2 linked regions of the Stegostoma tigrinum genome follow. The main gene of each other region encodes a partner of the protein of the gene in region 2 in a complex. Links are inferred from orthologs where the notes say so. Each region holds a gene or a part of one and is shown on either strand. Other genes may lie near its edges.

Evidence for each region.
Region 1: herpud1 (region 2) and ube2j1 share a complex: the UniProt entries of both Homo sapiens proteins name them as parts of the HRD1 complex. The link is inferred for Stegostoma tigrinum from reciprocal best matches to the Homo sapiens genes HERPUD1 and UBE2J1.

Annotation. Positions count from the first base shown.
Region 1 is NC_081357.1:40,759,662-40,767,809, forward strand, and holds the start of ube2j1 (ubiquitin-conjugating enzyme E2 J1), read right to left. Parts: upstream 3,316-8,148; 5' UTR 3,072-3,315; coding exon 3,041-3,071; intron 1-3,040. UniProt on the Homo sapiens protein: Catalyzes the covalent attachment of ubiquitin to other proteins. Functions in the selective degradation of misfolded membrane proteins from the endoplasmic reticulum (ERAD) and is essential for cells to recover from ER stress.
Region 2 is NC_081369.1:15,385,290-15,393,849, reverse strand, and holds the start of herpud1 (homocysteine-responsive endoplasmic reticulum-resident ubiquitin-like domain member 1 protein), read right to left. Parts: upstream 3,081-8,560; 5' UTR 2,840-3,080; coding exon 2,699-2,839; intron 1-2,698. UniProt on the Homo sapiens protein: Component of the endoplasmic reticulum quality control (ERQC) system also called ER-associated degradation (ERAD) involved in ubiquitin-dependent degradation of misfolded endoplasmic reticulum proteins.

The sequences.
Region 1 (8,148 bases), on a different chromosome or scaffold from region 2:
TGCAATAGATGAGATCAATTTTGGCAAGATCAGCATTATTTGGGACTACAGCATCCATTCATCAGTTCAATAACAGCTGGGAAGAAGCCATTCCTGAACCTACTGGTGCATGTCTCATCAACTCTTGCAAGTAAAGTCCCAGCCTGTTTAATCTTTGCTCAAGACAATCCCTCCATACCAGGGATCGTCCTAGTGAATTGCTTCCAATGAAATAATATTGGTCCCCTTGTTAAAAGGAACAAAAGTGCTTACAATACTCCAGACGTGGTGTGACCAGCACCGTGTACAGGTGTAACAAGGCTTCCCTACTTGTACTCCATACCACTTTGAAATAAGGGCCAACATTCCATTAGCTTCCCTGATTTCCTGCTTCGCTTGCATGCACAAGTACACCCCAAGTTGCTTTGTGTTACAACTTTTTGCGGTTTCTCTGATATATTTTAAGAATCACATATAGTACACTTCCTTTTTGCTAAAAACTTATCCTAACCCAGGTAAATCTATTGTAAAATTTGACTCAGTTTTGATTTCTTATACAGCTGTTTAAGTTATTGCCACTGAAACAACACTAAGATACAAATACAGTGCAATTTATTTTTAAGAAATTACTACAAAATAATTTATACTGACTACTGAACACTCCCCTCTATTTTGAAGGCATATAAACCTTAAAATGTTGTATGCTCCAGTCTCAAGTACACTGTTCTATAACGTGCCCATTTTGTTTGAATTGTCAGAATTCCTATCACCAATCTCAAGAGTTTATAAACTTTGCATTCATTTTGGCATGAGCTTCTTTCCTTAAAGAAAATGAAGTATTTTAAGTTGTATAATAGCAAAGTTTATAAACTGAGAATCATTATGTGAAAAAGGATAACTTCTTATTCACTTTTTTGAACAAAATTAAAAGGATCTTATATCTTAAAGATATTATACCTTAAAAAGGAAACTAACTGGCAAAAGACTCAATTTGGACACGTCCACTAATATCAACAAGTAGTTCAGGCCAGAAGACAGCCTCAGATGGTCGGAGCTGAAACATCTGATGGACAACTAGCCAGCGTCTAGAACCCTTAATAAAAACTTTGAGTCAAAGATTTGGGAAGGCTTTGATTGGCTTACCTGATTTGCTGGCCAGAAAAGGTCCGAAAAGTCAAAAGCTGCTGTAACTTATGGCTAACCGTAAAGTTGACAACCCTTCACTGCCACCATCCCTCTGCTCATGCCAACACACAGAAAATGCCTGGCTTGAACAACCATCCCTTTTGATCAATCCTTTTCCGAGGGAATTCATTGTCTCAAATTCAACCCACATGTGGTCAAAAGCAAGTTCAAGCAGGCCAGTATTCTTACATCTAACCTCCAGCGGCCATCAAAAACACAATTATTAGGATCCAGAATTAATAAATCATAACTGTTCAGGTCATACAGCTTAATAATAGTGCTCAAAAAAGGTATTAAGAAATAGCACACACTCCATATGAATTCCTCTAAAACCTAACTTTAACAAGAATGACCAAAGCACACATCAAGGCCACATAACTCTCATCTGCCATCTAACTGGCAATGGAGGCAGTATCAGAAAACAAACCTTTCACTAATGTTCTCATACTTCAATTTTAAGATCAATTTTTGGTTACATGGGGTGTGGGCATCACTTGCAAGATCAAGAGACAACACGGCATAAAGGTGGATGAACACAGCAGGCCAAGCAGCAGAGGAGAAGGAAAGCTTGACGTTTCGGGGTCGGGACTCTCCTTCAGAAAAATGCAAGATCAATATTTGTGGCCCAAACCCAAATACCCATGGTAATTCCAGGTACATTGCAAATAACTGTAGGGATCTAGTACATTTCATACTCCAACAGATCAATAGCTAAAAAAACTGGATTTATTTTGGACGATTTCTATCGTTCTCTAAAAGCAAATTTAGAGACATTCATCGGAAGCCATACGCAGTCACAAATTTCCAAAACAGACAAGAATATGCCTAATGTGCAAATCAGACTTTGTATGGAACATGCAAGGGAAGCAGAAGCTTTAATGCTGATACTGACAGGAATGAAGGATGAAATATCAGCCAGAACAGTACTAAGTAAAATACTGCCATGCCAGAAATTAAAAGTAAACAAAGTGCTGAAAACACTGAGCAGGTCAAGTAGTGCTTACAGATTAGGTTATGTTAACATTGGAGGTCAGTGACAATAAATTAGATTCCAATATTGAAACAGCTGACCCTGGTTGTGTGGGCACATGCAAGTGAAACAGCAGAGGAATTGAGCAAATAATTCTAGAAGTAGAAACAGGTGATCTTTCTGCTAGATGGCAATGGGATAAAAACTATCTGCTTTAACCAGTGACATTTCTAGAGGAGAATGGAACTGGTGGCAAGTGGCTCCAAGGAGCCCAACAACCACAGTTGAGGTTTTCCCAATATTTACATGGGGGGGAAGAAGAGTGTTAAAAGAAATCCTCCTCAGAGGCTGACCAGCAGTCCAACTAAACAACTCCTAGGTGGATTAAGACTAAGAGAGGTGGCAGAGGTTGAGCTGTGCACCATCCTTCTGTCTACTGGAAGGTTGTAACAGGACAAAAAGGGATTCGACGACTGATGTTTAAAGCCACCCGAAACAAGTTCAGATCACTGATGAAGGGTCTAGGCCCGAAACGTCAGCTTTTGTGCTCCTGAGATGCTGCTGGGCCTGCTGTGTTCATCCAGCCTCACATTTTATTGTCTCGAAACAAGTTCAGTGTTGTGTCTTGCCCAGTCCAGCCCAGCCCAGCCCAGCCCAGCGAAACACCGAGTAGCAGCAAGTGGATTCTGAAGGCATCTCAGGGAGCGAGGCACAACTACGGCCTTCAACACACCGGGGCAGAAAGCGACAGGCCTGCAACAGGACAGCAGCAGTTGTGTAGGGTACGACAGGCCGGGAGAGGGCCGGAACTAGGCGACCACTCATACACAACACACACTCACAGAAGGCACGAAACGGGAGAAAGGACGGGGGAGCCGGTTGAGGAAGGGAGAACGTTTCACTCACCCGGATTCCTCAGGTTGTACTGGCCCTCCATGTTGTCAGTTTCTGGCAGCGCTGCCGCTTCAGGAGATCGCGGACACAGCGGGAAGTCACAAACACTCTGACTCCACCCACCGGGGCTCGCGGACACAGCAGCGCCGTCACACGACCCCGTCCCAAGACCCCAGGGCTCGAGGACAATGCGTTATCAGACCACACGCGCCGGCTTTGAACAGGCTAATGCCGAAACCCTCCAGCGCGAGCGGAGACTTGACCTTTTGTGACGTGGCGTTAAACAGTGGTTCCGGCGCAGGCGCGACAAAGGTACCCACCCTCCAGTTTCCCGGCGGGCGGCTGCAGTTAAATCAGTTAAACCTCGTCCCTCAACCTCACAGCCAGGTCTCGATATGAACCGAATTTATGGGACTGCATTTAGTACCCGCGCACACTCATCAAACTAAAAACAGGTAGCATTTTGTAAATGCGAAATAAAGGGTGACAGTAGTAATGAGTGACGCTTGTAGTTTTGGTAGTGTTACCCTTGATTCAGCACTCTCTTTAGCCGGACAAAAGTCAATTTTGTTTAGGAAAGCAAAAAAATTGAACAAGGACATTTAGGTCAAATATTGGTCTAGATGTGAGCGAGCTTCATTCCAGGTTGTGTGAAGGATGTTCTGGGAATCTTGCAGCCTGAACCAACGAGAATATTATTTGCTAACTGTTGACTTACTAAGATTGTTTACACGATTGCTCCACTTTTGAAGTGCCAAGTCGATCATACATCGCGACCTCCTGTTGAGTTCTCCAGCTTCGCAGTTTCCAACCAATTCTCGATTCACTTGGCGGGGTAGCTCGAAACAGCGGAAGGAGACTGGAGACTGCCAAGGCCTTGAGTTCTGACAGCACTCAAAAGTAGTACTGATGACTTGTTCTCCAGAATTTACTGCATCCCTAGCCAAAAGAAAAATAGTTGTGGCTGTTGGAAGTGTATCATCTCAGCCTCATTACGAGGCCAGAAGTGAGGATGTTTGCTGGTGATTGCACATTTTCCTTGGACTTGGCTAATAAGTGGCAAATAACATTCACACCACACAAATACCAACCAATGGCCACCTGCAACAAGAACCAGGCCGTTTAACGTTCAATGACATTACCATCGCTGGATCCCTCTCTTTTAACATTTTGGGAGTTTCCACTGGACAGAAACTGGACTAGCTACATAAATATTATGGCAACAAAAAAAAAGCCAAGGGCTATGACCTAAGTGGTGAATAACTCACTTGCTGTCTTGCAGTGCCTGTCCATGATCTACAAGGCTCAGTGTCTTGGCATACTCTCCATTTGTCTGGATGGATGCTGCTTCAACGACACTGAGGAAACCTGACACCATCCAGGTTGAAGCAGCCTGCTTAATTTGTACCCTGTCCACGACCTTCAAGTTCACTGCCGAACACACAGAAGAAATGGTTGTAGCTCATCTCAGCCCTAGTACATCACTGCAGGAATTCCTCAGAGTAGTGCCACTGTTCCTGCATTGTCGTCATGTTAAAATCCTGGAACTCTGTTCCAAATAACACTGAGGTGTTGCAGTGGTTCAAGAAGACAACTTACCATCACCTTCTCTAGGCGATTAGGAATGGGCAATAAACAGCCATCCATCAATGACCTTCCTGGGCCAGCAATACATTCCATTAATGAATTTTAAAAATGCATATAATTGTAAAATGAACTGCTTGGATGCTGAAGATACAGTCAAGGTAACCAGCTAGATTTGCTTAATTCAGTATGAGGGCAAATAGATAAGTTGTAACAGCCATGGATTTATGGTTTTTTTGGGAGGTAATATCATTAACAATAACTTGTTCTTTAAGATATGTGTCCAGAAAACAACAAAATTATAGGTAATAAAACTTCTTGAGATTTTTAGATTATATTTGCAGATACTTAGTCCCATTTATTTATTTGCCTTACACTAATAACTTTCAGCACCCTTTGTGTTTACTTATTAAAAGAGGAACATTGTGACAACTGATATGTAGAATATGTTCAGCAAATTTAATTCTTATCACTGAGAGAATTTAATTCTTATCACTGGCTAGGAGGAAACAGTACCTTAGTGCTATTATCACTAGCAATCCAGAGGCCCAGTTTAATGTTTTAGGATCATGGTAACTAGTGGAATTTAAATTCAATTAATATGTCTGGTACTGAAAGTTAGCCCCAGTAATGGTGACCATGAAACTATAAATAATCATCTAAAAGATCTAGAGATAGATCTCTGTGACTCCAAACTCACAGAAATGTGTTAAATCTACCCTCTGAAATGGCCTAGCAGGCCACTCAATTCAAGGGCAATTTTGAATGGGCAGCTTTGCTAGTGATGCCCACATCCTAGGAAAGAATACATTTTAAAAATGACAATTCTAAAGCTTAGTGTTTTATTTTGCCTGAACACCAACTGCGACTTCTTTAATATTCAACTGATATTTTATCTGTAATTATAAATAAAAGTAATTTCCACCAATAATATTTTAGGTGTCAGTCTCAGTCAAGTACAGTCTCAGTCAAGTACAGTCTTGTAAGGTCAAAAGATGGTGTCCTATAAAACGCTGCAAAAAATGACAATGGTGCACCATTTAACAAAGGTGTTACAATGAAATAAATGTGACTGGGCATTCTTCTTACCTACGAGGCAGAAACACCATTGGGGAAAAACAATGTAGACAAAGGCAGGTTGTATTTAGTTGTGTATGTATGTACACCATGCTTTGTTTACTCTATGTTATCAACTGTACACAGTTCTTTGAGTGATTTCCTTGACTGGTTGATGCTGTGTAATTACAAAGCTATTTCTTTTCATTAAGATCTATCATAATGAGGAGGCTACAGGCTAATCCATATCCAACAATCTGCTCTGAAAACTTTGCTCACATTTGACATCTGTAACAAATTGTTTTAAAATATTGTGGATTTCTCAGTGGTACAATGAACCATATTTTAAACAACAACCCAAAACACTCTAAAATAAAATACAAATTTACTGTATCACACAATATTAACAGATGGATCCTATAAAAAATGTCTAGGATCCAAATTTGCAACTTCACCTAGAACGTTTTAGTTCTTTCTTGGTGCTCATCTGTTTACCAAATTTGTTTCAGATCTTTTCTGATTTGAAATATATGTAGTTTACAGACTAGTAGGGGAAAAACATTACCTTTATCCTCCTGAAATGGTTTACAAAAAGCTTTATGGAAGTGGTAGAGGAAGCAGAGAGAGGGAAAGATAAGGCGTGCAGAAATAAGCTGTGGACATCTAGTACAAATGACTGAGAAATCACAAATTCAAAATTGAAATTCAGCACAGCAAAATGATAAAATGAAAAATTAGTCATGATTCAAATGGAAAGAAAAATACATCAATTAAAAATGTAAGGAGAGAATCTCAAAGATGAATGTTAAAAGTGGAAACTAGTACAGATAATTGTAAAAAAGCCTGAGAAGCAGTGGAACAGAAACACAGAAACTTAACTGAAAGATCCTTACCGTTACACAGAAATTCACAACTCCAGTTCACGTATGAAAAAGTCAGAAGTGAAAACAAAATACCTGCAGGCAGTGATCTGTTGTCAAAACCGAGGAAGCATGGACCATTGTTCTAGTTGCAAAAAAATGTAAATCATGGGAAGCATGAAAATTTTCAGCAGAGAGAAAACATCAAAGAAAAGTTGAATTGGATGAGAATGAGACAAATGGCAGAGGGAAAAAGTGGAGAAAGAGAAAATTATTAGTGGAGTACAAAGAAGCATTACTAGGTAGAGAAGTGAACAACTGTACCCATAGCTGGAAGAACATACGCTTCTCTATGTTTTGCTGTTCCAAGCTGAAAACAAGTTGCAGAACTACTAAGTCAATATCAGTTAGTTAAATTTATTATCAAACGTGGCAACAAAACTCAAATATACCTCAAACGAACGCACATGAGGAAAACATGCATTTAGGTGGAGTTATGGTAGAATTTCTGTCATTATTATTTCATTATTACATCACTGGTAGGGAAATTATTGGAAAGGGTTCTTCGAGACAGGATTTACTCCCAACTGGAAATCAATGGATGTATTAGTGAGAGGCAACATGGTTTTTGTGAAGGGGAAGTCGTGTCTCACTAACTTGGTTGAGTTTTTTGAGGAAGTGATGAAGATGATCAATGAGGGTAGGGCAGTGAATGGTGTCTACATGAATTTCAGTAAGGCCTTTGACAAGGTCCCTCATGGCAGGCTGATACAGAAGGTTAAGTCGCATGGGGTCAGAGGTGAGCCTGCAAGATGGATAAAAAAACTGGCTGAGTCATAGAAGACAGAGGATAGCAGTGGAAAGGTGCATTTTTGAATGGAGGGCTGTGACTAGTCATGTTCTTCAGGGATCAGTGTTGGGAATTTTGCTATTTGTAATACATATAAATGATTTGGATGAGAATGTAACTGGTCTGATTAGTAAGTTTGCCGATGATACAAAGGTTGGTGGAATTGCGGATAACGATGAGGAACGTCAAAGGATACAGCAGGATATAGATCAGTTGGTGACTTTGGCAGAGAGATTGCAGGTGGAGTTAAATCCGGCAAATTGTGAGCTAATGCATTTTGGAAGGTCTAATCCAGATGGAAAATACACAGTAAATGGCAGAACCCTTAAGAGTACTGATAGGCAGAGGGGTCTGGGTATACAGGGACATAGGTCACTGAAAGTGGCAACGTAGTTGGAAAAGGTAGTCAACAAGTCATATGGCGTGCTTGCCTTCATTGGCTGGGGCAATGAGTTTAAAAATTGGCAAGTAATGTTGCAGTCTTAAAGAACCTTAGTTAGGCTGCATTCGGAATATTGTGCTCAATTCTGGTCGCTACACTACCAGAAGGATGTTGTGGCTTTGGAGAGGGTACAAAAAAAATTTACCAGATTGCTTGGTATGGAGGGCATTAGCTATGAGGAGAGGTTGGAGAAGCTTGAGTTGTTCTCACTGGAACGACGGAGGGTGAGCAGGGACCTGATAGAAGTCTACAAGATTATGAAGGGCATGGACAGACTGGATAGTCAGAAGCTTTTTCCCAGGTTGGAAGAATCAGTTACCAGGGGCCA
Region 2 (8,560 bases):
TTTATTAACAAACATGTTGTTTGTACCTCAGCTACTCATTTACATCAGCAGTTTTCAGTCAGCAGGCAGTGGGGATTACTCAATATTTGTCTTGTAGAAATGAGAGTGTTTTAAAAGGGCCATCGCAGTAGGTGTTAGGGTGCATCCATCAGTTCAATTTAAATGTTTATCTTGCGAGTGAGGGCATAAATAATTCTGAACATTGGATCATTCCACAGGGGGATAATTACTCAGGGAAGTGGAAAGTGACATGCTGAGCATGGAAAACCTTCCCATTATGTCCAGTCACTGGCAATGAAAGAAAACACCCAATTATAGACACTGTCCTCCCACAGCCTGGGTTGTTTCTCCATCTCTATGATATTAGTATGAGCTACTAGTGGTTACATATCTGAAAGAACTTTCAAAGCTGCATGTATTGTTTTAGAACGAAAAAGGACTAATTTCTTTTTCTTTCTCAGTTTGATAGAGAAGTCAGCAACAGCATAACAGGAAATTTTAGGTTTTCACTTTTACACTATGAGTGTCAACAGATGAGACATTTCATTCCCTTTGATCCCAGGATGTGAAACCTGTGTGAAAAGTCCCTAGCTCTCATCAGCCAAGCACATGCTGTTCACTGGCTGACAAATCACCACGTCACCTTAAGGTAAAAGCATTTCTCTCCAAATTGCTATAATCTGTCAACTTTAAAATCAGTATTTCATATTTTAATCAGACCTGGGATAAGAGTTGAAATGGTCATTGACAATGTAAAGTTTTAAGAGTGGCAATATTCTTGAAACAGCTGGGCAGACTCACTATTATATTATGCAATGCCACCTTTTCAGGTGTGTAGCAGCAGATACATTATTGTCATAATACTGTGGCACTTTTCTGCAATATATCAGCGGTATTTTAATTAGGCTTCTGTTCATGGCTAGTCAACTCCTACAGCCTTCCAGTACCTCACCTAATATTTTGATTCATTCAAGGGATGAGGGCTTGGCCGCCGAGACCATTCCTAATTGGCCAAGGGGTAATTTGTGTAGATCTGGAATCCACGGTCATCATTACACTCTTAATTCTAGGGATTTTTTTTTTAAAATTGATTTCAAATGCCATCTGCTGCAGCAGGATTCGAACCGACGTCTCCACATACACAGTCCAACAATAACATTAGGCCACTAGCTTTCCTCCTCTGTTGTGTGTAGTTGTTGCTGAATTACGTGGACATTGCAACCGTTCTGTCGTCAATTTGAAGATCACACGTGACTTTCAGGAGGGGAAACCACAAGAAACAGAACGTAAACTTGACCGGACACGTCCTCCAAGTTATTCACCATCCTACTTGAAAACACATCACCTATAGGTCAAAGTCCTGGAGTTCCCTTCCTAACAGCAGTCCTACATAGTTCACCATCAGCAATCGGACCCTGCTAGTGTCTCACATGTAAGAAAATATATTGTATGTTTAAGAGAGGTCTTTAGGTTTTTGGATAGAATCAAACCCCAATGTTATATTTGCTTCCTTGATATGAAACTCACTTTTTCAAGGGCTACTAGGTATGGGTAATAAGTGTTGGTCCAGCCAGCAACACCCATATCCCATAATCAATAAGGAGAAATTCCCTCACCCAGATTGAACACTCTCTCCTGTCTCCTTGCTGGGATGCACATAGATGGGGAATTAAGTCTGAGATCTTGCCAAGACTGTGATTCGTCTGCTCGTTGTTTTAATTAAATTATCACAGAAACTAATTTACAATCAGAGGGAAAAATATCGATGGCTGTGCATAAATTAACACTTTTAACTCATTTAAAGAGTTAGAGGCCACATTAGGGAAATATGTTTCCGAGCCATTTTAGAATCCTGTAGGTTCAGCGAACTGAACATTGGGAGGCAAATATAATGGAGCCGAAACAACAGTGTAGCTGGAATTGGTAAACTTCTTGTGTTTTTAGATCGTTCTGCCAGACTGTGAAGAGTTTCCACACCCTCATAAGTCACATTCGAGTCAAACTTTGCGATCCACTCTGAACCTAATAAGCTTCCGGCTTAGTACTCCTTTCAAGCAGGGCTCAGAGCATGGGTTATACATATTGGCGAGGAACAATTTAAAATAAAGGCAGGTTGGATAGTTTCTGGTAGTGTGATAATTTTAGCATCTATAGTCCATTGGAAGAAAAACAAAAAGGATTTTAATGACAAACACTTCAATGTAGAGAAGCTGTAAAATCCAAGTTAACACTTAAAATGCAATGTTAATACTCACACTCCCACCCTTCTACCTACTAAAATGAGAAGTCGAACAGTAGGGCAGCTTACAACTTTACTGTGCAGTGTACAACAGGATTGCCCAGCTCTGCTAAAATGTTTCTCACTTGCTGCCTAGCCCTGATGAGAATTTCTCGGGTCTTGCCGAGGACGGATCTGTTCTGCCTCACTTGTCAAAGATCGACGGGCCAGGCAGATCCACAAGTAGGAGCCGGAAGTCTCGGGAGGGGCAAGAAAATTTCTTAAAAAAAACTTTAAGCGAAGGGTCCCTGAAAGGAGCCCTCGAGTTCCACACCAACAATGTGTCTCGTTCCTGAGCGGCTATGAAAGCTTTAAAAATAAAATCTACCAGACTGCTAAATACAACTCGCTGTGATCTCCAGCGTTTTGTTGTTTTAGGTTCACTCCACCCTCAAGCGCTCCCCACCCGGAGTGACTTACTGGGTGACTCGGATAGTTCTCTCTCAGATAGGATTTCAGATTCTTCACCGTCCAGCCTGGATCCGCCTCGACTTTCTGATCTTCGTACTTTTGGTTCGGCGCTTTAATGAGCAGAGGCACCATTTCCACATGAGCCCCCATACCCGCTGCTTCTTTGGAGTTTAGGGGTTTTTTTTCGCTCCTCTGGATTTTGTGCGAGGTTTATAATCGGAACCGCTTCTTCAGCGCCGCGAGTGTTGAGTAAGGGTAGAGCAGGAACTGGTACAAGACAAGCGGGTTACACCGAGCGCTGCTAATCCCTCCCGCTCAGCAGTTTATAGACTCACTGTGACTTGTCTCCTCGCCCCCTGCTTTCTGAGTTTGTTTTCCCATTGTACTGGGGCTGTAGGGTGGGGGCGGAGTGTCCGTAATGCCAAGCCGGAGTGTGGCTGCTGGTGATTGGTCCTTTGTAGCAGCGACGTGGAGCTCGAAGGAGGCAGTTTTGGAATGCGAACCGGGGGAGGGGATTTCCCCGCCTCCCTGCCGGGCTCGGAGCGTTCACGGCCGGCTACAGCTCCCCAGCCCTGTCCGGGCCTCAGGAGAACCACAAGCGCTGCCCGTTTCTCAGAATCAGATTGCACGGAAACAGACCCTTCGGCCCACTTCTCCATGTTGACCAAGTTTCATAAACTAAACTAATCCCATTTCCCTGCATTTGACCCATATCCCTCTAAACCTTTCCTAATCATGCAAATTGTCTTTTTAAATGTTATGGTGCCCATCTTTACCGCTTCCTCTGGCGGCTCATTTTGTACACGCGCTACCCTCTGAGAAAAAGTTCCCCTTTTCCTTTTAAATCTTTCTCCTCTCACCTTAAACCAATGCCTCTAGTTTTGAACTGCCCTGCCCTTAGGAAAAGACCTTGGCTATTCACCTAGATAACAAAGTGTGGTGCTGGATGAACACAGCAGGCCAAGCAGCATCTTAGGAGCACAAAAGCTAACGTTAGGCCCGAAGCGTCAGCTTTCCTGCTGCTAAGATGCTGCTTGGCCTGCTGTGTTCATCCAGCTTCACACTTTGTTATCTCGGATTCTCCAGCATCCGCAGTTCCCATTATCTCTTGGCTATTCACCTCATGATTTTACAAACCTCTCTAAAGGTCACCCCTGAGCCTGTGATGCTCCAGGGAAAACAGTCCCAGCCTCTCCTTATAACTCAAAGCCTCAGGACTTGGTAACAACCTTGTAAATCTTTTTCGCACCCTTCTGAGTTTGATAAAATTCTTCCTATAGCAGGGCAATCAGAATTGTATGCAGTATTCTAGATGTGGCCCTACCAATGCCTCGTACAGCTGTAACATGACATCCCAACTCCTGTACTCAACGCTCTGACCGATGAAGGCAAGCATACCAAATGCCTACTACCCTGCACACCCGTGATGCTACTTTCAAGAAATTATGTACCTGCACACTGAGGTCTCTCTTCTTTGCAACCTTTTCATTACACCTCTCCCTCCGTCAGAAGTGGAGGCCATTTCATCTGTTCATCCTGTGCTCTTACTGTGTAATCTAATTAACTCCAAGCCCCCTGCTCTTCACCCAGTCTCCAATGGAAAGTTCCTGTTGAATCTGCATTCAGCTGCTCCTTGGGGACACTGCATTTCCAGACAAGAACAACTCATGTAAACAGCCAACTCACTTACACTCTGAGGTATAGTAGATTCTGGCATCTCCTTCTCACGAAAGGATCTGTCAGTTTCTCACTAAACTTGTATATTAGGATAAAGGTCCAGATTGCACAGAACTGTTGCCACAGGAGGAGGCGGCCATTCAACTAATCATGTCTGCACCAGCCCACCACGAGTATTTAATTTTGCACAATTCTACTGTTATTTCCTCTTAAGTCTGTGGTCTTCCTTTTCAAAAGACAGTCTAATCCCCTTTTCAATATCTCAAACAAACCTGCTGCTACCACACAGTTGGATTGTGTGTTCCTGAGCCCAACCATTTATGGGTTTTTCCCTGTCACGTTTGCTCTCTTAAGAACTACTTTAAATCTGTGGCCTCTCATTCTCAATTCTTTTATGAGTGTCTTTCCCTATTTGCCCTGTCTCCTTAACTCAATAATTAACACAGTTCCCTTACTAGCAAACACTTAACAGCTGCTTAACCAATGCAGCAGGGGTAATTTAACTAGCAACACGTGAAGGCAGAGAAATTAATATTGGGAGTTGGGTAATACGTGCGTGACTGAAGTGAGAATTTAAAGGGCCTGGGCAGGCATGGGAAACACATGCAAAAACATGGTGAGGGCAGGCCGCCATGGGATAATGCATCATCAGGTCACAGTTCAGGTCTGTGCGGGAGCAGAGACACTCTGCCTCACAAACATAGGTTCCACGGTCACCTCTGTTCATTTTGAACTTTGGCGAATTTGTCTTTGCAATTCGTGACAACACCACCCGTTCCCAAATTTATTACTTCAAAGTGTTGGCAAAGATTTGTAGCTTGGGTTATGGATGAAGTTGCTGACTAACTTGCCGAGCTGGCTTGTTCTCGTTCAGATGTTTCGTCACCATGCTAGCTGACATCATCAGTGAGGCCTCCAATAAAGCGGTGTTATTCTACTCCACTTGGAATTTATACTGTCTGGTCTGTTATGGTGAGTACAGTCATTTCTGGTTTTGATCTGTATGGGTTTGTATGTGGGGTCCAATTCTGTGTGTTCGTTGACTGCATTGCAGATGGAAAACCATGACTCTAGGAATTCCCATGTGTGTCTATGTTTGGCTTGAGCTATTATGGTTACCTTATCCTAGTCAAACTGATGGCCTTCATTGTCTGAGTATACCGATATCAAGGAGAGTTTGTTGTGCCGTTTTGCTGCTAGTCGATGTTCATATATTCTGATGGAAAGTTTCCATCCTGTCCGTCTGATGTAGTATTTGTGGCAGTCGTTGTGTGGTATTTTGTAAACCACGTTGGTTCTGCATGTTGTGGCAATGGCGTCTTTAATTCTTGTAATTTTTTGTCGTAGAGTAGCTGTGGGCCTATGTGCCACCATGGTTCCTAGTGGTGTTAGGAGTCTTGTCAGTTCTGACATGTTCCTGATGTATAGCAGTGTGGCCAGTGGGTTAGGGCATACTGCGTCCTAAATTCCAAGTATAAATTCCAAGCAGAGTAGAATAACATTGCTTCATCTGAGAGTCCACTGATGATGTCACCTAGCATAGTGACAAGACATCTGAATGAGAACAAGCCAGGTCGGTGAGCAAGTCGACAACCTCCAACTTATTTCCTCTTGCTAAGCTCATTAGAATCTACTGTCCTGGCATTTTCACACCAACCCATCATATCCAAACCCTTCATAAGAGCTAGTAGGAACTACTGCTGCTGGAGTCAGAGATAACAGTGTGGAGCTGGTGGAGCGGAGCAGGAAAGTTGACGTTTTGGAAGAAAGGTCCCAACCCAAAACGTCAATTTTCCTGCTCCTCTGATGCTACCTGGCCTGCCAAACCTTTCATAAAAGTCTTTTTTAAAATTCATTCATGGAATCATGGACTTTCCTAGCTAGGCCAGGATTTATTGACCATCTCCAATTGCCCAGAGGACAGTTAAGTATCAACCCTGTTGTTGTGGGTATGGAATCACACATAGGCCAGAGCAGGAAAGGATGGCAGATTTCCTTCCCTAAAGGAAATAACTGAGCCAGACTGTCAAAAACAATAAAATCAACAGTGGTTAGAGATAGTAAGAACTGCCGATGCTGGAGTCCAAGACAATACAGTGTGAAGCTGCAGGAACACAGTGGGCCAGGCAGCGTTAGAGGAGCAGAAAAGTTGACTTTTCAGGTCAGGACCCTTCTTCAGCTTCATACTGTTTTGTCAATAGTGGTTACATGGTTTTTATTAGGCCAGCTCATATTTCCATACTGTTGTTGAATTCAGCTTCAGTCATGGAGGAATTCAATCCCCTGTCTCCAGAGCATTACCCTAGGGTTCTGGATTATGTTAATGCTATACCACTGCTCCAGTCCCAAAACCTGAAATGTGGAGCAAAGACAAGGACCTGTTCCACTTTCTTTCAGGTTCTCCTCTACACAATTGGAAAAGGTAGGAAGTTGTCTCCTGGAGGCCCTCCTGCCCATCCAAGATAGCTTGGACAGCATTTGCAGAGGGGACTAGCAACTGTGGGGTCCACTCAAGATCACAAGTGCGCTGTTAGGTTAGGGTTGATGACCTCCTTCAATCCACCCAGGTAAGTGTCTCAGTGGCACGGGATAATCGCTCGGGTGGACATCAGTATTTGTGTGAGTGAGCAGCAGGGCCAGCAGGTGAGCATGTCAACTGGATAGCATTTGAGGCCAGGGTCCAAATATTTACTCAAGCCAAACTATCTCAAATAAACACATCAGGCAGTTTGTGTTAAGAAGATAACAAGACAGTCAGTTGGCATTTGTCAAGCCACTAAACATCCACTTTTTCTTGTAGGATAAATGGACCCCCTCATCAAAAGGGAAAGGCAAAGGGGTCTGAAGAGTGCCCAGAATGAACACCTTCACCCCTGCATGGGGCAAGAAACCTTCTATTCTGATAGGGACCAGCTAAGTCAGCTCATTGCTGACAGTAAGTCAAGAGTGATGAGGCATGAAATTGCCATATGGATGCTCAGCACCACTGGAGGAATTGTGCAGTGGTCCCAGACTCTGTGGAACTTGTTCTCCTTCTCAGATGCCCTTCAGTGCAGAAGCTGGACCTTAGTCACTGGAGACTGAAGACTTCACCCCTAGGACAATGACATCAGTGACCGACAGGATGCGCCCTCCACCAGCAATACTCCACCCAGCAAGGTCACAGAGGGGTCGAATTTAGAATTGAGGCATATTTTGGTAAGCATGGCACAGAAATGAGGAAGCACGTGACAAATGAGGTCCAGATACTGCAATGACCTCACCCCAATTCCAAGCCACACCGTTGATGGGTCTCTGGCTGCGGCCTTAGGTCTAAAGGACGTGCAACGAAGGTGAGAAGAACGTATGATGGAAATACCAATGGTTAAACACAACTTTGTGCAGACTAAGAAGATGTCTGTGCCTATCAGGTGTTCTGCCAAGTCTCCGAGCACTGTTTCATGAGGGAGTGACCACCACGGAAAGCCAGGCCAAGTAACCAACCCCACGTGCAGTGTGACCTCCACTCAGGGAGAGAGGGAGCTCCTGCGCCCAGATGTAGGACAAACCCAGGCTAGCTGAGCTGGGAACTTGCTCTCAGGACTGCTCCAGGGGGAGCATCCTCGTCTCATTCCCTCAGCAAGGGGCATCAATTACTTTCTGCATGTCTTGCTGATGATGTTTCCCCTCGTACTCGTGTGGAACACCCAGGTAGACAGACAGAGAATGCAGGTCAAAACCACCACAGATAACAGGATATCACAGCGTGCAACCTGCCATCACCGCAACCTGCCATCACCTCAACTGCTGATATCAGGTTCACGCCAAGAAACAGTACTGGAAAGAGAAATCTTCAAAATTAATAAAGCACAAGTGAAATTCTCTTTAATACAATTAGCTATTGTAGATATCTCCTAATCAACCTGTCAGAGATGTTATTACATACCTCTGGAGAGACAAGACTTGAACTCCATCCTCCTGGCTCAGAGTTAGAGACGCTACCACTACCTCAGAGCCCACATATAGCTATTGTACTTTATATTATTCCCTCTTTATTCATGTATGCATCATTATCCAAATTAGGGATTTGAATAGTCAAAGATCTAACTGGCATCATTGATGGGTTCCGAGGGAGCTGAAATGATAACTGGCATCGTTGATAGTGGGTTCAAATCCTGCCACAGCAGATGGTGGAATTTGCATTCAATAAATATC